Caenorhabditis elegans: one gene and its partners. The protein of the gene in region 1 purifies or fractionates together with the protein of each later gene. This does not show direct contact. Each region holds a gene or a part of one and is shown in the gene's direction. Other genes may lie near its edges. The genes, in order: pyc-1, nuo-5, T26A5.6 and Y54E5A.2.

Region 1 (6,968 bases):
TCACAAGTCTTTTTTCCTCTACGTTTACGAGTCTCTTATGCCAACCTCGTGATCGCCAGTGATTGCCGAAAGTGCGAAGAACGATCAAAATTTGAAACTTATCGAAGCTGGTTCTGTGATGTTTTGATTAGTACGAAATAAGTCATGTCATGATAGATCGAAAATTCATAGATTCTGAGATTTTCGATTTTCAGCGATAATCTAGCTATCAGATAAAATTTATGTAAACAATTTTCACATAGTCTTTCAGTTTCCAACCCTGAATTTCTAATTTTATCATTGAAATTCTTTCGTTAAATGGAATCCAAATCTTGTTTATTGGCCAGTTTAATTTTATTAAATGTGTTTCATTGATCATTAAATATCATTATGTTGATCTTTAAAGTGAACTTAATTAAATCATTTTTATTTTCAGCCCTTTACGAAAATTAACTATCCCACTACGACCAAAAACAGTTTTGAACATTTTGACATTTTGAAAAATCGAAGGTTCTGAAGTTTAAATCATTTATCCTCCTCCTCTGCGTCTCAGTTTTTGTGTTCTAGTGTCCACCCGAGTCGACTGATAAGACAAAATGACACAAACACCGTCTCTCGGCTATCAGTTTGTTGTCGCCGCAAATTCATAGCCATGGTCAAAGTGTTGATCTAGTTCTCTTTGAATCTAGATTTTTTTCAAATTTTTAACTTGATTGTGATACTCTAAGACATTTTATATCTTTAAATCCGCAAAATTAAAAAAAATTATTATAGTGCGTCCATAGTCTGCGGAAAACGGGAATTTCCCGCGTGCGGAAGCGTCCATAGTCTGCGGAAAAACCGGAGTTCCTCGCTTTTTTTTTCCTCAAAATTCAAAAAGTAGGCGTGGCCAACCAATCAGCTGTTGTTTCTTGTTTTCCCATTGCTCAGCTTAAAATTTTACAGCCTCTAATTGGTTGAACACGCCCACTATTTTGAAATTGACCAATAACAAAGCGAGAAACTCCTTGTTTTTTTCCGCAGACTATGGACGCTTCCGCACGCGGGAATTCCCCGTTTTCCGCAGACTATGGACGCACCATTAACACTAATCCCCGAGATATCAAAAAAAAAAACTAACGATAGAACAGCAAAAAATATTGGAATATTTGGCCGTGCGGAATAGATATTTAATATGGCATGCTCATAAACCATTCTAAAAACTAATTTTCTAATTTTACAAAAATCCAAAACTGAATGTTGAACGTTCTGTGGCTTCTGTAGTTTCTGTAGTTTCTGATAACTTCCTTCTTTGTTTACTTTTATTTTTTTCAATTTTCCTTATTTTCTCTAGGTTCTTCGTCTGGTCTTGGGTATGCCACGTGGTTCTTCTTTCACATCTCATTTCACCGAAAAAACCTAGAAAATCGAAAAACAAAATATTTTATTTTCTTCCCTTCTCCTATCATTCTATCAATGTTATCAGTACTGTTGTTATTCTTCTCTACAAATATCACTAGGTGGTTCTATGGAGAATGAACAATGATTTTTAAATCAATTAATGTATCTTCATACATACACTCACTCTCATGTGGTGTGACCTCTTGGTCTTTTCAAAATCTCTATTGCTCTGCGTACGTGACCTTTCACATTTTTCACCGTTCTAATTTATCACGTGGTCAACGTGGATACTTCTAAAAATCTCAAATAATGTCCGAATTCCGAAGAAGTTTACCACACTTCGATTCGTTCTTGAGCTTTCTGCTCTCACACAGTAGAAGGTACACCAAAGTAATGTTTCTGTGTCTCTTCGATGTTCACACTATCATTATTGAATAATCTTCATTGGTTGTATTCACCGAATAGGTTCACCGTCTCAAAACTATGCATGTTTCAGATAAACGACAACGATGCGGTTCTCCCGCATCCCACCGATCTTCGCTAATGTCGTCCGACAGACACATTATCGTAACTATGCCAATGGAGTTATCAAACCAAGAGAATTCAACAAGGTATTTCATTTCTTTTTCGTGCTTGAAGATAAATTCGGAAATTTTTTCAGGTTATGGTGGCCAATCGTGGAGAAATTGCAATCCGTGTGTTCCGTGCCCTCACAGAATTGAACAAAACTTCTGTTGCGATTTACGCCGAGCAGGACAAAAACTCGATGCATCGTCTGAAAGCTGACGAAGCCTATCTTGTAGGAAAAGGTCTTCCACCGGTTGCTGCTTATCTGACTATTGACCAGATTATAGAAACTGCCCTGAAGGTTTGTAGGACAAAAATTGACCAAGATTATCGTACCCTTTATAGCACAACATTGATGCTATTCATCCCGGATATGGATTTCTGTCAGAGCGATCTGACTTTGCAGCTGCTTGTCAAAATGCAGGAATAGTGTTCATTGGTCCTAGCCCCGACGTTATGGCTCGAATGGGAGACAAAGTTGCTGCTCGTCAAGCTGCCATTGAAGCTGGTGTTCAAGTCGTTCCAGGAACTCCTGGACCAATTACAACTGCTGATGAAGCTGTCGAATTTGCAAAGCAGTACGGTACACCAATTATTTTGAAGGCCGCTTATGGAGGAGGTGGTCGTGGAATTCGTCGTGTTGATAAATTGGAAGAAGTTGAAGAGGCATTCCGTAGATCCTACTCGGAAGCTCAAGCTGCGTTTGGAGACGGAAGTCTTTTCGTTGAAAAGTTTGTTGAGAGACCAAGACATATTGAAGTTCAGCTGCTTGGTTAGTTTCAGCGGAAACTATTATAATTACATAATATATTTTTCAGGAGACCATCATGGAAATATTGTTCATTTGTATGAGCGTGATTGTTCAGTGCAACGTCGTCATCAAAAGGTTGTTGAAATTGCTCCAGCGCCAGCTCTCCCAGAAGGTGTTCGTGAGAAAATTTTGGCAGACGCTCTTCGACTTGCAAGACATGTTGGATACCAAAATGCTGGTACAGTCGAATTCCTGGTTGATCAGAAGGGCAACTACTATTTCATCGAAGTGAATGCACGTCTTCAAGTCGAGCATACAGTAACTGAAGAGATCACTGGTGTGGATCTTGTCCAAGCTCAAATTCGTATCGCCGAAGGAAAATCTCTGGATGATCTGAAGCTTTCACAGGAAACTATTCAAACTACTGGCTCAGCTATTCAATGTCGTGTCACAACTGAAGATCCAGCTAAAGGATTCCAGCCAGATTCCGGAAGAATTGAAGTTTTCCGATCCGGAGAGGGAATGGGAATTCGTCTTGATTCAGCATCTGCCTTCGCAGGATCAGTCATTTCACCTCACTACGATTCTTTGATGGTCAAAGTAATTGCATCGGCTAGAAATCATCCGAACGCTGCCGCAAAAATGATTCGTGCCCTCAAAAAGTTCCGTATCCGAGGCGTAAAGGTGAGAATTCAATCAAAAAATGAAATCAAAGTACACCAAATCATGTTGATAGCTATCACCATTTTCTCACTGATAAGGAAACCCATTGCCACTGACTGATATTCTGCCTGATGGCTGATCAATGACTAAACTTTAAACTTTTTCAGACAAACATCCCATTTCTGCTCAACGTTCTTCGCCAGCCCAGCTTCCTTGATGCATCCGTCGATACGTATTTCATTGATGAGCATCCAGAGTTGTTCCAATTCAAACCAAGCCAAAACCGTGCTCAAAAGTTGTTGAACTATTTGGGAGAAGTTAAGGTGAACGGTCCAACTACTCCTCTTGCTACTGACCTGAAACCAGCAGTTGTTTCTCCTCCGATCCCATACATCCCAGCTGGAGCCAAACCGCCGACTGGACTTCGTGATGTACTTGTTCAAAGAGGACCAACTGAGTTTGCAAAGGAAGTTCGCAGTAGACCAGGATGTATGATCACTGATACTACATTCAGGTATAAACTCAAAAAGAAAGTAACATATATTAATTTCACATTTTCAGAGATGCACATCAATCTCTTCTTGCAACACGAGTACGTACCTATGATATGGCTGCTATTTCACCTTTTGTTGCCCAATCATTCAATGGTCTCTTCTCACTTGAAAACTGGGGAGGAGCTACTTTCGATGTTTCCATGCGCTTCCTCCACGAGTGTCCATGGGAACGTCTTCAAACTCTTCGCAAACTGATTCCAAATATTCCATTCCAATGTCTTCTGCGAGGTGCCAATGCTATGGGATATTCAAATTATCCTGATAACGTTATTTACAAGTTCTGCGAGTTGGCGGTGAAAAATGGAATGGATGTGTTCCGTGTATTTGATTCACTGAACTATCTTCCAAATCTTCTCGTCGGAATGGAAGCCGTTGGAAAGGCCGGTGGAGTTGTTGAAGCTGCTATCGCATACACTGGAGATGTTACCGATAAGTCTCGTGACAAATACGACCTCAAATACTATTTGAACTTGGCTGATCAACTTGTCAAAGCTCAAGCGCATATTCTTTCTATCAAGGATATGGCTGGAGTTCTGAAACCGGAAGCTGCCAAGTTGTTGATTGGCGCTCTCCGAGACAAGTTCCCAGATATTCCAATTCACGTTCATACCCACGATACATCTGGAGCTGGAGTTGCTGCTATGCTTGAGTGTGCCAAAGCTGGAGCTGATGTGGTCGATGCTGCAGTTGATAGCATGAGTGGAATGACTTCTCAGCCTTCAATGGGAGCTATTGTAGCTAGTCTTCAAGGAACTAAACATGATACTGGTGAGTTACAATATCGTTTGAAAAATGTCTAATTTATATTTAAGGTCTTTCTCTTGATGACATTTCAAAATATTCTGCATACTGGGAGTCAACTCGTCAACTCTATGCTCCATTCGAATGTGCCACCACCATGAAAAGTGGAAATGCCGATGTTTACAAGCACGAAATTCCAGGAGGACAGTACACGAACTTGCAATTCCAAGCATTCTCTCTCGGACTTGGGCCACAGTTCGATGAAGTCAAGCGTATGTATCGTGAAGCTAATCTTGTTCTTGGCGACATAATTAAAGTTACGCCATCATCCAAGATTGTCGGTGACTTGGCTCAGTTTATGGTGCAAAACAACTTGACTCGCGAAACTCTTGTCGACCGTGCCGATGATCTATCCTTCCCAAAAAGTGTCGTTGATTTCATGCAAGGAAATGTCGGACAACCTCCATATGGATTCCCTGAGCCATTGAGAACTAAAGTCCTTCGTGGAAAGCCAAAAGTCGATGGAAGGCCAGGAGAAAATGCTAAGCCAGTTGATCTAGATGCTGTGAAGGTCGAACTTGAAGAGAAACATGGACGTACTTTGTCTGAAGAAGATGTGATGTCATATTCGATGTTCCCAACGGTTTTCGATGAGTTTGAGACTTTCCGTCAACAATATGGACCAGTTGATAAGCTGCCAACGAGACTCTTCTTGACTGGATTGGAGATTGCGGAAGAAGTTGATGTAAGTGATTCTACATTAATCTACATTTCTGAATTTCACGACTTATGAATTTTATTTCAGGTTGAAATCGAGAGTGGAAAAACTCTTGCAATTCAATTGCTCGCTGAAGGAAAACTAAACAAGCGTGGAGAACGCGAAGTCTTCTTTGATCTCAATGGACAAATGAGAAGTATCTTCGTGGTTGACAAGGAAGCTTCCAAGGAAATTGTAACTCGCCCAAGAGCTCTCCCAGGTGTCCGTGGACATATTGGAGCACCAATGCCAGGAGATGTTTTGGAGCTGAAAATCAAGGAAGGCGACAAGGTAATACAACGCATATCTAAAGATGTAATAAATCAATCATGCATCCGGGATATGTATTCTGAATTTCTTTGAAAAACAAAAAAAGACAAATGGGACGAATTCAGAAGCGGTGGGCCCCACAACGGAAATTGTAGGGAAAAACGGAAAGAGATAAATTTATAGCCTTATGCCTCCCACGTTTTTTCTTCTTGTCCTACACAAAAATCACATAAAAAAATGATGGCATAAAAAATGAATATAGGAATTATTTCTTTTCAGGTTACCAAGAAGCAACCCCTATTTGTGCTTTCCGCCATGAAAATGGAGATGGTCATCGACTCTCCAATTGCTGGAACCGTCAAGGCTATCCATGCACCACAAGGAACCAAATGTAGTGCCGGAGACTTGGTAGTTGAAGTTGAACCATGAACTGACATCAATAAACTCGCATTTTGTCTCTTTTTTTGTTAATTCCATTCACCATCACAAATTCCGCCACATCGAAATTATATTTGGCGTTGTGCTATATAGAATGATTAGCCACCACCTTCTCTTTGCCATTCGAACCATCTCAATGTGTATATTCTGTGTATTGCCTCCCCAAAATTTTCTAAACGTCTTCATTGCCAGTAATTTTTCGTTTTCCCTCCACTTTTGCATTTATATTGTTTTCTTAGAAAAAGTATTTATTGCATCGGGTGCTCATTGTCTTTGTGTAGAATATAAACTCGTTCACTTCTCTCTCAATTTTATCACTGAAACTCACCGAAGAGCAATGCAACTCGATAAAGCAACTCGATAAAATCAATTATTACGTAGAAATCTAATGATGGGAAGAGTCGCCATATCATACGCGCATTGGTCTCGCCACGCGAACTGCGAGCTAGCTCGTCTCACTTTACTGACCACTATTGCTGAGAAGATTTTTAACATAAAAATAGGTTGCAATGGAGACTCATAAATCAACAGGAGTTACAGTAATTTCGTGTTTGCTGGGGAAAATGTTTATCTTTAGACTTCTACATAATACCTACGTTAGTGTAAATAGTACTATTCACTACGCCATTTAATTTAAAAAAAACAAAACACAAATTATAGAGACTGAAATATCTGAAAAGAAAACGTATGTTTTAAAGTTTTATTTATTTTACTTGGGAATGGTTTCAGAGAATTTAGAATTTTAAAACAAATTTAGTGCCATTCGATAGCTGATATTATGTACTTCTTCAACGTAAGAGACCATTTTTGCCTCGGACATCTAGAACTCGAGATATTTGCGTCTGAAAATTACTACTGATTTCAGTTG
Region 2 (4,733 bases), 9.1 Mb from region 1:
CGTCCACTTTTACAGCTCCGTGACGCCGATAACGAGGAGAATAAATATAAACGGCGCCCGACGATGGATTGGATGCGCGGGCTCTGGAGAGCAAAACATGGCGGCTCCGGGGTCCCACAGGAACGGGCTTCCGCGAAAAAAATCGCGCTTTTCGTGATTTTCCTGGCCGTTTTGGCTTTGATTACGGTTGGATTTTAAAAAGCGACTTTTATAGACTCAAAAACGCCAAAAAAATATTTTTTCCCTGAAAAAATGGCCTAATTTTAGCTAAAATACATCAATTTCGCCGACTTTTCCGTGTTGCATCTGTCGGAAATTCGCTTTTATTTGATTTTATCACAGTTTATTTTCAATTTTTATCGTTTTTCTCACGTTTTTTTCGTTATTTAGTGTACATTTGAAGCATATAAACCGAAAACGACGTGAGGGCGGAGCCTAAACCGCAATCCTGCGGCGCGATGTTTCGCAACTCCACCGCGCGACTATTTTTTACAAGTTTTTAAGTTTTTTTTCGCATTTTTCGAATAAAATTTCCAGTATATCGTGATTTTTTCGAGATATTTCGATAAAATCTCATGAAAAAAAAATTTCGACTGACAAAAAAACAGCGCGGCGGAGTTGCGAAATCGCGCGCCGCAGAATTGCGGTCCAGACCCCGCCCACAATTTTTTGCGCTCAACGTCTGCCGTGTGGCTTAAAATGTACATTAAATAGCGAAAAAATGTGTAATAAACAATAAAAATATAAAATAAACGATGAAATTTCATGAAAATAAAATATAAGTCAATTTCCGACCGCTGCGACACGGAAAAGTCGGCGAAATTGGTGTATTTTAGCTAAAATTGAGCGATTTTGAGTATTTTTAAGCGAATTTTGAGCTTTTTGAGCAAATTTTGAGTGTTTTTAATCAAATTTCGCAAATTTTGAGTCATTTTGATCAAATTTTAAGGCTTTTTGAGCAAATTTATTGTCTTTTTGAGCAATTTTTTGAGTATTTTAGAGCAATTTTTGAGTATTTTTGAAGGAAATGTTAAGGCTTTTTGATCAAAGTTTGACTTTTTTTGAGTGAATTTTGAGTATTTTTGAGCGAATTTTATGGCTTTTTAAGCAAATTTTGAGTGTTTATGAGTCTTATCAAGCAAATTTAGATTCTAACTTCATTTAATTCCAAATAAATTGTATTTTTCCAGATTATAATGGTGATGAAGCGTGCCGGATACAGCGGCGAGCACTCATCGGACCCCCTTTTCGATCCAATGGCCAATCCGAATATTCGCGTCGCCGTCGAAGATTCTCGTCTTCCACACGTCTAAAAAATTTTTTTTTTTGAAAAAAATGTGCATATCCTTCCCTTTCTGTGTAATATTCAATGTCTACTCATTCCCCAACGAAAAAAAAAGTTTTTCGAAAAATTTTTTATTTTTACTTTCGCCTGCTAATGATGCTAACAAACGGGATTTTTTCTGATTTTTTTCGATTTTTTTCGCTAAAAACTAGCTAAAACTAGCTAAAACTTGGTTGTAATTAATTATTAATTATTTATTCTTTTTTTTTGCCCTATTTCTTGTATATTCGGTGGTTTAAATGGTATTTATTGATTTTTTTTCCTCTAAAAATTGAAATTCGGTTAATTTTCTACCGAGATTTATATTTATTTTCTCTCAATTTTTCGGAAAAAATTTCAGGAAGTAATTGCAATTTCAGAGCACCATGCATCGCGTCGGTGGACAAATTGTCCGCGGAGTGTCGAAGGCTCAACAGAAGAGATCGCTTTCGGTGGCGGCTCCGGCTCCACCGAAAAAGGTGAAAAAACTGGAATTTTCGGCGGAAAAATTGAAGAAAAATGGATTTGGCAAAAAAATAACGAATTAACTAGCGAGAAATTCAAAAAAAAAGCTTAATTTCATCTACAATCTCCAATTTTCCATCATTTTCCATTTAAAATTAGTGCCAGAATATAGAAAATCGCTCGATTTATCGGAAAATCACTTTGATTTTAGCTGAAATGTTGGAGAAAGCGCTCAAAAAGACAGTTTTGAGCTTTTTCTCAACTGTTTCATCCGAAATTAATGTGATTTTCTCGATGAATCGAGTGATTTTCTATATTTTGGCACTAATTATTAATTGAAAATTTTACAAAATACATGGTGCAATGATGTTTTACTAAAATCAAAAATGTTTTCGTTTTTCAATTAAAAAAATCGAAAAATTCCGTTTTTCGGTTCGAAAAATCAAAAATTTTTAGATTTTTCCTTTAAAAAACGGAAAATTTAGTTTTTTTAATTTCCGAAAAAAGAACAAATCGAAAAAGTACGTTATTTAATTTAAACAAAAATCTAAATTTCTTCGTTTTTCAATTGAAAAAAAAATCGTTATTTCCTGTAAAAAAATCAAAAATTTAGTTTTTCGGTTCAAAAATCGGAATTTTTTCGATTTTTCCTGTAAACATCGAATTTTTTTTTAAATGCTCGATTTTCTCTGACAATTTTTTTTACAAAAAAATAAAAATTATTCGATTTTTCCTGTAAAAAATCTAATTTTTTTTTTCAATTAAAATGATCGAAACATTTCGTTTTTAAATTTATCAACAAAAAAAACATAAAATGAAAAAAGCACGTTTTTCAATTAAAAAAAAATCGAAAAATTACGTTTTTCAATTTTAAAAAATCTAATTTTCCTGTAAAAAATCTAAAAATTTAGCTTTCAGTTCAAAAAATCAGAATTTTTTCGATGATTTTTCCTGTAAAAAATCGAAAATTCGTTTTTTTTTCAATTTTTAAAAATATATCGTAAATATATATTTTTCGATTTTCCGGAACCTAAAAACCCAACATTTTTTTCAATTAAAAAAAAAAAAAAACGAAACAAATTTCTTCCATTTTCCGAAAACAAAAAACTTAAAAAAAAAATTTTTTTTCGATTTTCAAATAAAAAAAATCGAAATTTTTCGATTTTCCCTGTAAAAATCAACAAAAAAACCACTAAAAATCACCTCATTTTCTTCCAGGTCGAAGTCTTCATCGACGACAAAAAAGTGCTCGTCGACCCGGGAATGACGATTCTCCAAGCGTGCGCGCTCGTCGGCGTCGACATCCCACGCTTCTGCTATCACGACCGTCTCTCAATTGCCGGAAACTGCCGAATGTGTCTGGTAGAGGTGGAGAAGTCGGTGAAGCCTGTCGCATCATGTGCGATGCCTGTCATGAACGGAATGAAAGTCAAAACCAACTCGGATTTCGTGAAAAAAGCTCGCGAAGGGGTGATGGAGTTCATGCTCAACAACCATCCACTCGACTGCCCGATTTGTGATCAAGGTGGCGAATGTGATCTACAGGATCAGGCGATGAATTTCGGATCCGATCGTGGGCGGCTTCAGTCGAGATTCGATGGAAAACGGGCTCTCGAGGATAAGAATATCGGGCCGTTGGTGAAAACTGTGATGACTCGATGTATTCAGTGTACTCGATGTGTCCGATTCGCTAATGAAGTGGCCGCTTTTCCGGATTTCGGCACCACCGGACGAGGACAAGATCTTCAAATTGGCACCTACGTCGAGAAATTTTTTGCTTCAGAGCTCTCTGGGAATATTATCGATATTTGTCCGGTCGGAGCTCTTACCAGCAAGCAGTACGCGTTTACGGCCCGGCCCTGGGAGACTAGAAAGACTGAAAGTGTTGATGTGATGGATGCGACCGGATCGAATATTGTGCTTTCGCATCGGACTGGCGAGCTTCTGCGGGTTATTCCGAAAATCAACGATGTACGGAGTTTTGAAACGAATTTTTTGGAAGACATAGCTTTGAAAATTTTGAAGAAGAATCGATATTTTTCGAATGTCGAAAAAAAAATTGTATTTTTGGCCATTTTTCACTTTTTTTGGAGAAAAAATCGATATTTTTCAATTTTCTCTGAAAAAAATCGAAAATTTACAGATTTTTTGAATTTTGATAATTAAAAAGTTGAAAATTGTGTAGTCTAGTTTGGAACAGGGGTGTGCGGCAAATGGAAAAAATTGCCGAGCTCGGCAAATCGGCAATTGCTGGTTTTTCAAAATTTGCCGAGCTCGGCAAATTCGGCAAATCTCTTTTTTCAATATTTGCCGAGCACGGCAAATTCGGCAAATTTGCAGAGCTCGGCAAATTCGGCAAATTCGGCAAATTTGCCGTGCTTAACAAACTCGGAAAAATTTGATATTTTTTATGTTTTGTGGAGCACCAAAACTACTGAATTCTTAACACACATCTGGTTTCTGAATAAGTTCCGCGTAGTATGTCTGTTTAAGCATCAAAATAGCTCAATTTTGTGTCATTTTACTAAATTTTTGGCTAAAAAATCAATAGTTTTATTCAAAATTGTACTGTCAAATTTTTCACGTGTGCGGCAAATTTCGAAATTTGCCGAGCTCGGCAAATTCGGAAAATCTACTTTTTTGAAAATTGCCGAGCTCGGCAAATCGGCAATTGCTGGTTTTTTTAAATTTGCCGAATTCGGCAAGTCGGCAATTTTCGGCAAATCGGCAAATTTGCCGCACACCCCTGGTTTGGAATAAAAAATTGTTCGGCAACATTTTACTTTTTATGAATTTTTAATGCTTTTTGAGCTGTTATCGGTAAAAATCGATTTTTTTTTCAGAGAAAATCAAAAAAAAAATCTAATTTTCTGAAAATAACTTAAAAAGCTTATTTTCGATAAATAAATTCATTTAAAGTAGATATTTGCCGGAAAATTTTTTT
Region 3 (5,052 bases), on another chromosome or scaffold:
AACACATTATAATATTTTTACCCAACCATTTCAAAACAAAAAAAATAAATTGTGGGCGAATATTTCTATTATTTCTATGACACCTCTTTTGCTTCTTTATAAATTTCTCTATTTTTACTATTCTCCTCACCCTACAAAATTTATTATTTTTTCAGCGGTGTCACTCGAAGGATGAAAGTTGCCGCGAAGAAGCTGGCAACGAGTAGAATGCGAAAGGATCGTGCCGCAGCAGCGTCACCATCTAGTGATATTGAGAACTCCGAAAATCCATCGTCTTTGGCTTCACACTCTTCATCTTCAGGAAGAATGACACCGTCGAAAAACACAAGGAGCAGGTATGATTGATTAGTGACAAGAGGGATTGTAATAGAACGTTTAAAAACTTCAATATTTCTAATTGAATTCACAACATATTCACAGAAATTGTCCAAGCTGAAAACTTCAATTTCCAAATAGTTTTTCTTTCAGAAAAGGAGTGTCGGTGAAAGATGTCTCAAACCATAAAATCACAGAATTCTTCCAAGTGCGGCGAAGTAATCGGAAGACGAGCAAGCAAATTAGCGATGAAGCTAAACATGCTCTTCGCGATACCGTACTCAAGGGGACTAATGAACGACTTCTTGAAGTGTACAAAGATGTTGTGAAGGGGCGAGGAATTCGAACGAAAGTTAACTTTGAAAAAGGAGACTTTGTTGTCGAATACAGAGGTATGTAGATAACACAGATAATTGTTGTAATATTGTTTTTAAAAAGTATTCTAGGTGTTATGATGGAGTACTCGGAAGCAAAAGTGATAGAAGAACAATATTCGAATGATGAGGAAATCGGATCCTACATGTACTTTTTTGAGCACAACAATAAAAAATGGTGTATCGATGCGACAAAAGAATCTCCATGGAAAGGACGACTCATCAATCATTCCGTGTTAAGGCCGAATCTCAAAACGAAAGTGAGCATTTCAAAATTTGAAATTTATTAAGAAAGTCTTTGATAAATTAAAAAAATGTAAATAACAATTCCAAAACTAAACATTCCAGGTGGTGGAAATCGATGGGTCGCATCACCTGATTCTCGTCGCCAGGCGTCAAATCGCACAAGGAGAAGAGCTTCTCTACGATTATGGAGATCGTTCAGCAGAGACGATTGCCAAGAATCCATGGCTTGTGAACACATAATATGTTGCTCCACAACATCTCTTCGATCTGCTCAATCCATTTCAAATGTTCATTTACCTTCACGAGTATACTACTGTAATTCCCTTCATTTTCTCATATTTTCCACGGCACTCGTGCCCAATCCTCTCATTACTTCGTCTCTTTCAACCGCCTTTTCTCATTCTCACAGCGAATCAAACCTGAAACAAATCTCAATAACGAGCCGTAATAACGTGCTCATTTATGATAATCTGGATCTCGTGAGTATCCAATTCTGTACCTTTCCTGTTGACTTTTGAAAAGTCCCTTGTTCTTTCCTTTCATTGAAACCTGAAAATCTCCTCACTTGTTCCACTACGAAATGCCTTTAATATCTTTAATTCTTCTGTAAATTTCTCGTTGATCGCCCATTTTTTCCTGAATTATTCATTTTTGTGGTGTACATGAGGTGCGAGTTGGAAACCTACTTTAATGACTGGTTAACGCTAAAATCGTTTCCATCCCTATCGGAAAACATTATCAGCGTGCAAATCTCAATTTTTCATTTTGAAAACAATTAAAATCCATAAATTTTGCTACATTAATCTTTTTTTACGAGTATATTCCGTTTTCCGGTATAGCAACCATAAGAATTTATCTGAAGATGGTAAAATTCGGGAAAACATTAGAGCTTACAGTTCAGAGAAAGATGCATCCAATTCTGAATGTGGTCGTCGTTAGTTTCCATCACAAGCGAGGATGTGAGGTAACAAAAATGGCAAACTATCAGAAAAATCAGGAAAATATGATACATAAAAGAATAAACTCGAAAACGTAACGATTAAGGTCATAAATGTGCAGGAAAGTAATAAAATGGCAATATAAACTACAAAATCGCGTATATTTTGCAGTTAATTTGAAATAAATGTTACAGTCAATCGAACATTTCACAAAAAGCAGAACGTTTTTGGTACTTTTTACTATTTTTGCAGTATTTTTCATATACATTTAATTATTAAGTTTTGTATTATATGGAGTGAAGATTTAAATTCAAGTTCATCAACTCAATTTGTAAAAAATCAATAAAATAAATCTTGTAGGTAGAATACTCGCACCCGAAACTCGATGGCACGGGCGAATCGGGATTACCCGATGAATGGCATCTTCTTCCATCACTGGCGTTGCCGGATGGTGTACATAATTGTCAAAAAGATACAATATTCTTTTTGCTTCCATCTAGAGAAGAACCTGGAAAATCGATATTTGGCATCTCGTGTTACAGACAAATCGATGCAAAAGTGAGATTTTATATGACTCTTCAGATAAAAACTGTTTGACTTTGCAGGAATTAATAAATAAATCGGAAGATGTGACTAGGACCAGTGTTCAAAAAGCTGTATGCGTTCTTTCAAGAATACCACTTTTTGGTCCATTAAAAGCAAAATTGGAAGTAATAACTCAGGCATATTTTGAACAAAAAGATTTTTCGAAAGTTGATGTTCTTGCTCAAATGTATACGAATCTTTGCGATATATTCGACGAAAATCTTACTGGAGAATACTTTTCAAATCTAGCTCATCATGGTACGTTATTGAATCAATTTACTAAAATAAAACATGAAAATAGTTTCAAATGTTCACATTTTAATTAGCGATATCAGTTTCAGAAATATCAATTCAAGAGCTTTTTATACGATTCCGTCACCGAGCTCTACTGCTTTTTAAATTATTCCTATTAGAGCGGAAAGTTTTATTCATTGCACCAACTGGATTACGATTAGGAGAAACTATGCTGGCTATTGTTTCAATGTTTCCAAGTAAGAATATACAGACATTTTAAAATCGTTTAATTTTGAATTTCAGAGCTTTTGGAAGAAGGTCTGTTCTACGCAACAATCGGGGTCAATACGAGTTGTCATTTCAAAAATGTAAATTCAAAAACTGAAGGAAAAAGCGAAGAAATAGTGATAGAAGAGGAGGTTGGTGTTCAGCTTTCACATGATGATCCATTGAAAGAAAAGGATTCGTGTGGATTTCCTATAAGCTTATTCACACAAGGATCATCATTTGATCCATATCTATCAATTCAATCAATGGATTTAGTCCCGAAGACTCAGAGTTGTATATTTGGAGCTACGAATGCCTTATTTGCGATGAAAAAGGATTTATTTGATGTTATTGTGAAGGTTTGTATTTTAAATTAACAATTTTCAGGTTTCTAACTAAACTTGAGTAATTTCAGATCGAAGACGACGGTTCTCTTGTCCATAATCACATTGAATTTGTCAACGACACAGCATTGGAACGAGTAGTTTCTCTAACTACTGCAGATCTTCGATTCGCTGATTTTATTCTCAAAAAAGTCGAAGAACAGGTTAAATCCTCAAATGCTGAATTCGATGGATCAGATGAATGGATTCGTTTACAAATGAAAAACTATCTTCTTGGCCTCGTTGCCACGTCACGTTCCGATCTACAAGCAGCGATACCTCATTTTGGAATCGCTTTTGTAAACGAATGGCGGAGAACTAAAAATCACAAAATTTGGGTTGCAAACAAACATGAAGATTTAACATCTGTTGCGCCAGGGTGAGGAATTTCAGAACATGAATACATTTTTCAATCTGAATATTTCAGGCACATGTTCTCGGAACAAATGGGAGTCTATGACGTGTATCTTCGTTTTGAACATGCCGTAAATGGAGTTGAAGGAGCTTCAAAAGTTATTGGAACTGTAAATACTGCCGGAAAGAATTTAGGAAATACCATTGGTAATTTTTTTCGGGTTTGGAAATTAATATAGCATCTAAAAAATTTCGAGAAATGAAGTAGCAGTAAAAAATTGAGGGCATAGCTTTCATTGCTTTGAATTATTCAAAATGTTCAAAATTTACAAAACTGACATTTTGCCAAAACGAAAAAAATATTTTTAATACTAAAGTGATTAACTCGATCGTGTTTTCAGGAGAAACCGGTAGTCGAGTCAAAGCAAAATTCTCAAACTGGTGGAATCGAAAAGCAACCGCACAAGAAGGTGTTGAAGAGGCAGAGGAGCCATCTGAGTGATTTATTAAAGTCAAATATGTATAATGGGCATTTTATCATCTTTTAAAGTTTTTTATTGTAATTAGAATTTCTGTCATATTTCCTTTGTTTTGTTTGTGTTCCATTCAATTTGATCTCTTAATGATCGAATCGTTTTCATCCGGTTTATGTAAGTCTAATCAGTTTGTTTTTCATGTAATCAATATAACTATGCATTTGTTTAAACTCAAAAATTGGTTTAATATACGGGTGAAGATGAACATCCTTTTATATATTACTTTCTTCTAATGATAGAATTGTGATTTATGATCTGTGACCATTAATGTTTTGATTTTAAATACGTAGACAAGTTGAAGAGGCAAACAAATAACGTTTAATATTTAGTTGAAGAGAAAACTTTTTTTTCAAAAACTCGGATAATATTTTTTCCAGTTTTCTTATTCACATTTTAAAAGCACAATTTACAATTGATAATGTTAAAATTCAACAAACTTTTCAAACTTCCCAGGAACCCCCTACAAACTTTGTTTTCCTGTGACGTCACTAAGCTACCTTTGCACTGTAGACGTTCAGATTTGTAGTCTCTCCTCTTTTTGTCCCTCGTGGGAGACACATGTTCGTTGTACTTTGCCCTTTTGTCTACTCCTCTTATCTCTCCTTTCCTCTACACGTACGCAAAGATACACTTTACCCTGATTTTTTGCTTTTCTTTTCCGAAAATCACAACAATTATGTATTTTGTTTTCATTTGAGGAATACGTAGAAGAAAGTTATAAATTTTAGCTAAAATATTTAGAACTACAATTTTGTGACCCCAAAAATAATTCGAAAAATGTATCTTTGATAGTAAATCACCCATTTATTGTGGCTGGCTT
Region 4 (7,806 bases), on another chromosome or scaffold:
ATTGAGTTACATTGAGAAGTGGTGTAACTTTTTGAAAATTTTGAAAAAAAAAACATTTAATTAAAAAAAAAAAAATTTCCAAAACTTTACAATCTTTTAGAAAATCTAATTCTACACAATTTTGCTTTTACAGTATGCTTCTACCTATCTTACTTGCAGAGATACACCGCTTCAAAGTTTTGAAGGCGAGAGAGTGTGGAAGAGGGAGAGAGCGCAGTGTCTGCGCACTCCCCTCCCCCACACTTTCTCACCCCGTCGAATTTGAAACGCGTGTAACTCTGTGGAAAAAAGAGGTAGAGAAACAATGATAACTGCAAAAATGTAGAGAATTTTGAGGAGAATATTTTGTTGGCTGAGAAAATTTTGATATCTTCATTTTTCAGGAAGATATAGGGGGCTTAAGAAATATTTAGTTAAAAATTCGTAAAACCACGCACAAACAAGTAAAAAATAGCGCGAGTGCTTTTTAAAGCAAAACATCTAGCAAAGGTTGCACATTTTCAAACTAAAAATTTATATTTTTCAATAAATTCAAAGGCACATATGCTCTCTGAGACAAAAAGTGATAAATTGGAAACCTTATAGGATGAAAAGCCAGAGGGGGAAATTGGTTGGTTAGCAACCACCTGAATCCAGTTTCCGTTGCTCTTGGAGCACACACATACGGAAAGGTGGACTTATTGCGTAGAGAATGCAACTATACATGCAAATAGAAAGGAAGGAACTGTGTGTGTGTGTGTTTTGAGAGCGAGACGGGAGAGGGAAGCGATGCTCTTTTTTTCCAATGATTCACTAGGTATTGGTCATTTTCGTGGTAAAACAAACAGTTTCAGACAGTAGAGTATAGGGAAATTGATAATGAAAACTAGACGGAAACATTATGAAATATCATTTGGAAAACTAAAAATTGAAAATTCAAATTCAAACATTCATTTTTCATAAATTTCATAAATGCTAAAACTCAAAACGTTATCCAGTAGAAAATCCAATTCTACACATTCTTGTCTTTTACACTACCTCTCTATCTTTCCTACCCGCCGAGTTACACCACGCTGAAGTTTTGGCGGGTGAGAGAGTGTGGGGGAGGGGGAGAGCGCAGGCAGTGTCTGCACTCTCCCCCTCCCTCGCGCTCTCTCACCCGCCAATCTTAAAACGCCTGTCACTTTGAGCAGAGGAGTGCAATTAAAATATTGTAAATTGCAAAAATGTACAGAATTTCAAGGCGTATATTTTGTTAGTTAAGTAAAATTTGGTAGAATAAGCTTCCGGTTAGATATGGCACTTTTGGCTCTTACCCAATAAATGCAGAATATCTTTGTAGAGCAAAACACTGCTCAAATACACTTTTTAGTTTGAATTTCAGGAAAAAAAAACAAGAAACTAAAAAAAACTCCGAACAATTTGTTTTTATTGCAATATATAGAGAATCAAATTCTGAACATTTTTCCTTTTTACAATATTTTTGTATCTTTCCTCTCTGCAAAGATACACCTCTTCTAAGTTTCGGTGTTGAGAGCGTGGAGGGAGAGGAGAGTGCAGGCAGTATATCTCTCTGCACTCTCGCCCTCCCCCACACTCTCTCACCCCAAAAAACTTCAAACGCTCACAACTTCACGCAGAGAAATGCTATCAAAAAGTGTTTAACTAACAAAATGTAGAGAATTTCACGGGGTATATTTAATTTTTAATTAAATTTTCGATACGATTTATTTAAAAAATATGTTTTTAAAAATAATTTATCACGTAAAAACTTTTTAAATCCATTGAAAAATCAATCTGCTTCATTTCTCCAAACCAACCATGGTTTTGTTGTTCAATTTTCTGAAACTTATGCTTTTTTCGACAGTGCATGGAATTGTTATCGAGTTTGGTAAGGAGACCTCTTCGCTGGAGCGCGTTTGCAGCCCCTTTCTGCAAAGTCTCAAATCTACTGTTTTTTTTTCAGAAAGACGAGCGGAACTCTACTCCCTGTACTCCTCAATTCCATTATCAAAAGACACGTGGAGATTTGAGAATTACCTGAACGTTCACAAGTACAACAATATACTATTCGACGGAAAAATCTTGGAATTCGACTCACTGGGATGGTTAAATGGGAATCAGACGATTTATCACAAATTACCATATTTTATATCGAATCCGGCGTTTCGAATTCCTCATATATCAAAGGAATTGTGTGATTCTAACGGGTTCTTTAATATTGGATTTCGCATTTTTCAGGTTTAATTTTTTTTTCTATTTATTCGATAATTTTTATATAATATTGTTGAATTTTAGCTTTTCGGGCCTAAAAATCTATAAAAACGGCAAAAGTTCGGTGGAGCGCGTTTGCACACTCGCGAATCGTGCCAAGACCAGTTTTAATCAATTTTTAAGATCATAGACAAATGCAGCTGTTTTTCTGCTAGATTTTATATGTTTCTAGTGAGCAAATTCATTTCATGAGCAAAAGAGAAAAAAAAATGATTAAAATAAATTTGGTGAAGCGCACTTTTACACGTGGTGTCAGGCGTTTTCCATAAAGTTTTGTAGATTTTAGTGTTAAAGTTCAAAATTTAGACATGTTATAGAGGCGTAGCGTAAATTTGAATGATCTACAATAAAATGCGGAAATTTTTTGCCCAGTAAAATGTGTCGCCAGCACACTTACAAAATTTGTTGAGAAATCTGCGACTCAATTCCCGCATTTTTTGAAGATCACACCGAAATGGGACACTCTGACCACGTGTTTTATTATCTTTTGCGGGCTTATTCACATGAAAAAAACCGTTTTTTTTCTATAAAATTTTGTAGATTTGAGTGTAAAAGTTCAAAATTTAGACCTGTTATAGGGGCGGAGCGTAAATTTTCAATTGTTTTTCCCGCCCCTTTTTTTTTGAGATCGCCTTCCCCCGATATTTAAATTCTCCAGAAAACGCTGCCCCTGCATCAAAATCAACGTTATTTTGCAGAAAACTCGCGAAGCGGGCCTCCCGTACCAACCGCAATGTGCCACGTGTCATCCGATAATTGAAGGTCTCCATCAAATGTACTACGTATTCCCGGAACGTGATTTCACTCAGATTTTCACGAAATTGACGATCGGCTCTCGAAAAATCAATAATTTATTGCACTATTGTAGTCGGGAGGATTGTGAACAGGAGCCACGTGTCTCGAATTTTCAGGATTACTTGAGAATTAATAGTGAGTGTATTATTTAACTTGGCTGAAAATTAGACGAACTAGCTGAAATTACCCTCAAAGTATCAGAAATTTATTTCTGAATTCAATGAGTCTAGTTAAGCATAGCATACATATCACAAGCCTTCATTATCTCTCAAGGGTACTCCTAAGGTGCTTAGTAGGTACAGTGCACCCAACAGCTACTTTTTTATAGAAAACTAGTATTGGAATTGGAATCAGCATACCAAAAAACCTATGGATCTATAATTTTATCATGATATCTCAAAAGTTGAGTGCAAAAGAGCAAAAAGTTGAAAAATCGACCGCCCAACTGCTATGGGACCCCCCCCCTGCGATTTTCGACAATTTCGCCGAAAATTCTCATTTTTTCAAGAAGCATAAAATTTTTCAGTTTCAAAAATACATTTAATGTAGTAATTTGGTGGTGTAATTTTTGTTTTTCATATCATCGAAATAACTGGAAACCTGCAAAAGCTTGATTTTCAACTTTTTATGACCTTTAAGCCCGACATGAAGCTACTGAGCGGGCTATTTTTTTAAGTTGTAAATGGCTTTTAGCAAGTTTTTTGGTGCCACTTGGTGTTTAAGCTCGTATCTGAGCAGCCGATGGAGCTTTCTTTACAAAATTTTACAGGCTATTTTGCTTAAAAATCCACAAATCATGCACCATAAACAATAGCTTCATCATACTTAAAATAATGTAGTACCATTAAAAACCCTAAGCTTAGTACTTTTGAAGCTTGTATAGTTTATCTAGAACTAGCTTATATCTGTAAATCATCCCGAAATTGAGCCAAATTAACTGAAAATTATTGTGAGCACATTTTTGATTCCAGTCCCTGTGACGCCGTTTTCCTTTTTATATCTTTTGCCAAACTACACCTTCCACAGACCTGCATTTTGGAAAGGTGACAAGATGGAGTGGAGAGCATGGAGCCACTGAAACCGACAGAGAAGCTATAGGGCTCCCCAATGGAGAGCTGGCGGTTGGTTTCCAGGACTTTACTCTCTGAAAAACTCAAAAATTTACAGATTCATTCTCGAAAAATTGAAGGATTTACTACAATGTGTGGAATTGAGTTGAATGGTAAAATTGTGAGCAGCTATAACTTTGTGAATGAGGATATTATTGGGGACGGAGAGCAGAATGGTAAGCTTTATTGACTTTATCGTATAGAAATTCAAATTCTGATTCTTTCTTCGTTTTCCATGATTTCTCTATCTCTACTCCCCGCCGAGATATACCCCGCTTTGAAGTTTTATTAGCGAGAGAGCGCGGAGGAGGGGGAGAGTGCAGACACTGCCAGCGCTCTCCTTCTCCTCTACACTCTCGCATTGGGAAAACTTTGAAAGCTTGTAACTTTGCGCAGAGGAATGCTATCAAAGAGTTGTCAACTGCCGAAATGTATAGAATTTTAATGAGCATATTTTGTTAGTTGGCAACTTTTTCGTGTGATCATTTTTTAAGGAAAAAACTCAGAAATTCCAAAATCCATATAACGTTCTTTATGGATCCCTAGTTAACAACCCTTTCATTTTAATTTATCAGGAAGATATCAAAATTCTGGCAATTAGTTGACAGATGACAAAATATAGAGAATTCCATTGAAAATACAGTTTCAGATAAAATCTTCACCTACGAAAACTACGAGTCTCTGGAAATTTCAATAAACTCTGTGAACGACACTAAGAACAATATTCAATTGTTCATCTCCTGGGATGATTGGGGTTGCTGTTCGGCGTGCTGCTGTCCCACCTCAATCTGTGGACATGATTATGAGACTGCTAGTGATTGGTCAGTTTTCACCTCTTATTTTTAGTACATATTTAAAATTTTCAATGAAAATCAATATTCCGCTCGCACCCGAGTTGGGCATTTGTCGATTAGGAAGTGGAAAATGGAAAAGGAAGCGCAGGTAAGATGGAAGTTATTTGAAGTGGCTGTAGCTTTGTAATAGTACAAGCTACCAAATAGTTATCAACTGACAAGTTGTAGGAAATTAATTTCTCTACAGATTACCAACTTTTTGATAGCTAGGTAACTTTGCGGAGATACAGGAGTTCCTCCAAGATAGTTCGAAAGCTTTCTAGCTCCGTTCAGATGTAAGATCTCAAAGTATTGTTAGCTAGCAAAATGTAGCAAATTAGATTCTTTATAGAATTAACTACTTTTAGTTAACTACTTTTTGGCACCTACAAAATTCTCCGAGTTATAGGAGTTTTGAGATAGCGCTTCACTTCCCCCAGAAGACTAGCCCAAAACCTGTCTAATCCCGTTCAGATACTTGATATCAAAAAGTTGTTATCTATGATAGCAACTTGTAGAAAATTAAATTCTCTACAAAGTGTTCGTTTTACAATTCCCATCACCTCTCACCATTTCAATTTCCAGCCCAACCAACCCAGCGAGTCACTGAACCAACTTCACAGACTGCTCTCAATCCCTCCGTATGCTCATCAGGGAATTCCATTGTTCTCGTCATTGTTGAAAAGAATTGTGCTTGAGGATATTTTAAGAGATATCCGAAGTGATTTGGTGCCAAAGTTCATTGTAGCTAACAAGGCTGCTGGGTAAGTTGAAAGGGAATTTTTAGGTTTTGAGGGGAGGTGGTTAAAAGCTTCTTTAAAACCCCCATATCTTTGCGCAAAAATGAGATACGAAGAAAGTATCAATTAATCAACTTAACTACTTTAAATTTGCTTGAAATTTCTAGTTGACAAGTTTTCTGTAGCTCTTACGGATTCGGAGCTACAGAAATCATAAAAACAGGTGTATTTTTGCGTGGGTGGGAGGCAGAATATTTGTTTTAATTAATAAAATAAACTACATAAAATTTTCTACAAATTGTTAGTTGACAACTTTTATGTAGCTCCTATTACCACCGAGATAAAGCCCGCTGAAATTTTTCTCAAAAATGCTAAAAAACTTTTTTTTTTCCAAAGTTTCAAAATCTTTTTCGCCCATCTTGTAGAGCATGAAATTCTGAGCATTTTTCAATTTTGAGATACACCGCTTTAAAGTTTCTGCGGTGTCTGCGCTCTCCCCTCGCCACACACTCTCTCACTTACCTTGCAAACTTAAAACGCTTATAACTCTGCGGAAAGCAAAGCTAATGAAATTTTGTAAATGGACAAAATATAGGAAATCGAATTCTCTACATTTTGGCAATTAACAGTTTTTTTGATACGACTGCTGTTTCCAGGCACAAATTCACGTCTGGAATGTTCATCGAATTAGAGTCCTGCAAGTCGAATATTCAAAAGACGAATTGCTACGAGTGGGCCAAGTGCCACAATATTTCGATGGTAAGTTCAGTGTAGACAGGCAGGCATGTAGGCATACCTACGTTTAGGAAGACGTCCACGTGGAATCCGAGGAGCAAGTTTCCGATTCGTGTCAGCAAGTGCAATTTATCGATGTGCTCGTTGGAATGGATAATATGAAAGTGACGTGGGTTTTTGCTTCCTTAGTTCAGTAGAGCGCAATTGCAAAATGGGAGACATTGATAAGGACTCGATCATGTTTAAATTTGATTAGGAAATTATTGTCAATCGGATGCAATTGTGCTCTATCGCAAAATTTTCTGGAACAATCGATATTAACAATATCGATTTTTTATTATCGATTCCACAAAAATGCCTACTTGTTCGATAGAGCGCTTTTACATCATCAGGAGCAAAATTATCGATTTTTCAGCGTCGGAGCCCACCAACATCTCCGTATCCGAATGGATTCAGAAGTTCACGATATGCGAACCACGTCCGCCAAATGGAGAATTGATCTTCGAAAACCCAAAAAATACGATAAGAACCGCCCGTGTCTGCTGCAGGGAACCGTGCAACGTGGCGGCGAGCTACTCATTCTTGACTTTTCCACGTGGCACATGAAAATTGATTTGATTTTGGCGAAGGAACGGAAGAAGGTTCGAATCACTTTTCATAATTTAAAGTGAGTTTGGAAATTTTTTGGGAATTTTTCAGATTTTCTTTTTCAGATTTTCAATTTTCAAATGTTTCCAATTTTCCCTGAAACTTTTTATAACATTTAACAATTTCGATTTTTTTCAATTTTCAGAATTTTTCGAAAATTGCTACTAGTTGGGAAAATTCTGGGAAATTAATGTTTTTTTTGAAAATAATGGAATTTTATCGATTTTCCAGAATTTCCTGGAGTTTGATTTATTGCCAAATAATTTTTGGAAAAGTCTGAATAGTTAAAAAAAAAGTTGAAAAACGTCCGAAAAAACGTCGGAAAAATTTCAAATTTTTTTAAGGTTTAAAAATTCAAAAAAATGCGATTTTTAAAAAAAATTTTTGATTTTAGAATTTTCGGGATATTTCAGAAATATCGATTTTACAGAATTTTTTGAGGCTTTTCATGGAATTTGGAATTTTGGGGAATATATATTTGATAACAAATTTCGAACTTTCAGAGTTGACGAGAAGGTTTCTGCAATACAAAATACTGTATTCTATTGGGCGCTGGCAATTGCTGGTAAGAGTTTTTGAAGAAAATTAAAATTGAAATAGTGAGAATTTACAACAAAAAATTCCAATAATTTAATACTTCTGAAAACTTATCGCGTCTAATGAAAGTAAAATGCTGAATTTCAAAAAAAAAGA

The links.
Region 2: the proteins of pyc-1 (region 1) and nuo-5 fractionate together in Caenorhabditis elegans (co-fractionation; one large-scale study listed by BioGRID). This does not show direct contact.
Region 3: the proteins of pyc-1 (region 1) and T26A5.6 fractionate together in Caenorhabditis elegans (co-fractionation; one large-scale study listed by BioGRID). This does not show direct contact.
Region 4: the proteins of pyc-1 (region 1) and Y54E5A.2 fractionate together in Caenorhabditis elegans (co-fractionation; one large-scale study listed by BioGRID). This does not show direct contact.

The regions. Positions count from the first base shown.
Region 1 is NC_003283.11:11,817,253-11,824,220, reverse strand, and holds pyc-1 (Pyruvate carboxylase 1), read left to right. Parts: upstream 1-1,855; 5' UTR 1,856-1,868; coding exon 1,869-1,970; intron 1,971-2,020; coding exon 2,021-2,227; intron 2,228-2,271; coding exon 2,272-2,698; intron 2,699-2,744; coding exon 2,745-3,361; intron 3,362-3,507; coding exon 3,508-3,854; intron 3,855-3,901; coding exon 3,902-4,662; intron 4,663-4,706; coding exon 4,707-5,380; intron 5,381-5,440; coding exon 5,441-5,683; intron 5,684-5,941; coding exon 5,942-6,091; 3' UTR 6,092-6,438; downstream 6,439-6,968. UniProt on the Caenorhabditis elegans protein: Pyruvate carboxylase catalyzes a 2-step reaction, involving the ATP-dependent carboxylation of the covalently attached biotin in the first step and the transfer of the carboxyl group to pyruvate in the second.
Region 2 is NC_003283.11:2,697,268-2,702,000, forward strand, and holds the start of nuo-5 (NADH-ubiquinone oxidoreductase 75 kDa subunit, mitochondrial), read left to right. Parts: upstream 1-1,704; 5' UTR 1,705-1,710; coding exon 1,711-1,803; intron 1,804-3,007; coding exon 3,008-3,760; intron 3,761-4,733. Other genes in the region: Y45G12B.2 (Zinc finger protein-like 1 homolog), read left to right, coding at 1-186, 1,191-1,313.
Region 3 is NC_003281.10:6,447,476-6,452,527, reverse strand, and holds T26A5.6 (UDENN domain-containing protein), read left to right. Parts: upstream 1-1,836; 5' UTR 1,837-1,842; coding exon 1,843-1,899; intron 1,900-2,233; coding exon 2,234-2,431; intron 2,432-2,478; coding exon 2,479-2,716; intron 2,717-2,793; coding exon 2,794-2,949; intron 2,950-2,995; coding exon 2,996-3,318; intron 3,319-3,374; coding exon 3,375-3,721; intron 3,722-3,769; coding exon 3,770-3,903; intron 3,904-4,097; coding exon 4,098-4,198; 3' UTR 4,199-4,516; downstream 4,517-5,052. Other genes in the region: Histone-lysine N-methyltransferase set-1, read left to right, coding at 172-335, 469-707, 762-949, 1,038-1,175.
Region 4 is NC_003279.8:14,692,370-14,700,175, forward strand, and holds the start of Y54E5A.2 (Recep_L_domain domain-containing protein), read left to right. Parts: upstream 1-1,784; 5' UTR 1,785-1,800; coding exon 1,801-1,870; intron 1,871-1,945; coding exon 1,946-2,220; intron 2,221-2,951; coding exon 2,952-3,183; intron 3,184-4,074; coding exon 4,075-4,169; intron 4,170-4,215; coding exon 4,216-4,333; intron 4,334-4,806; coding exon 4,807-4,978; intron 4,979-5,071; coding exon 5,072-5,099; intron 5,100-5,575; coding exon 5,576-5,754; intron 5,755-6,386; coding exon 6,387-6,489; intron 6,490-6,536; coding exon 6,537-6,634; intron 6,635-6,880; coding exon 6,881-7,132; intron 7,133-7,616; coding exon 7,617-7,678; intron 7,679-7,806.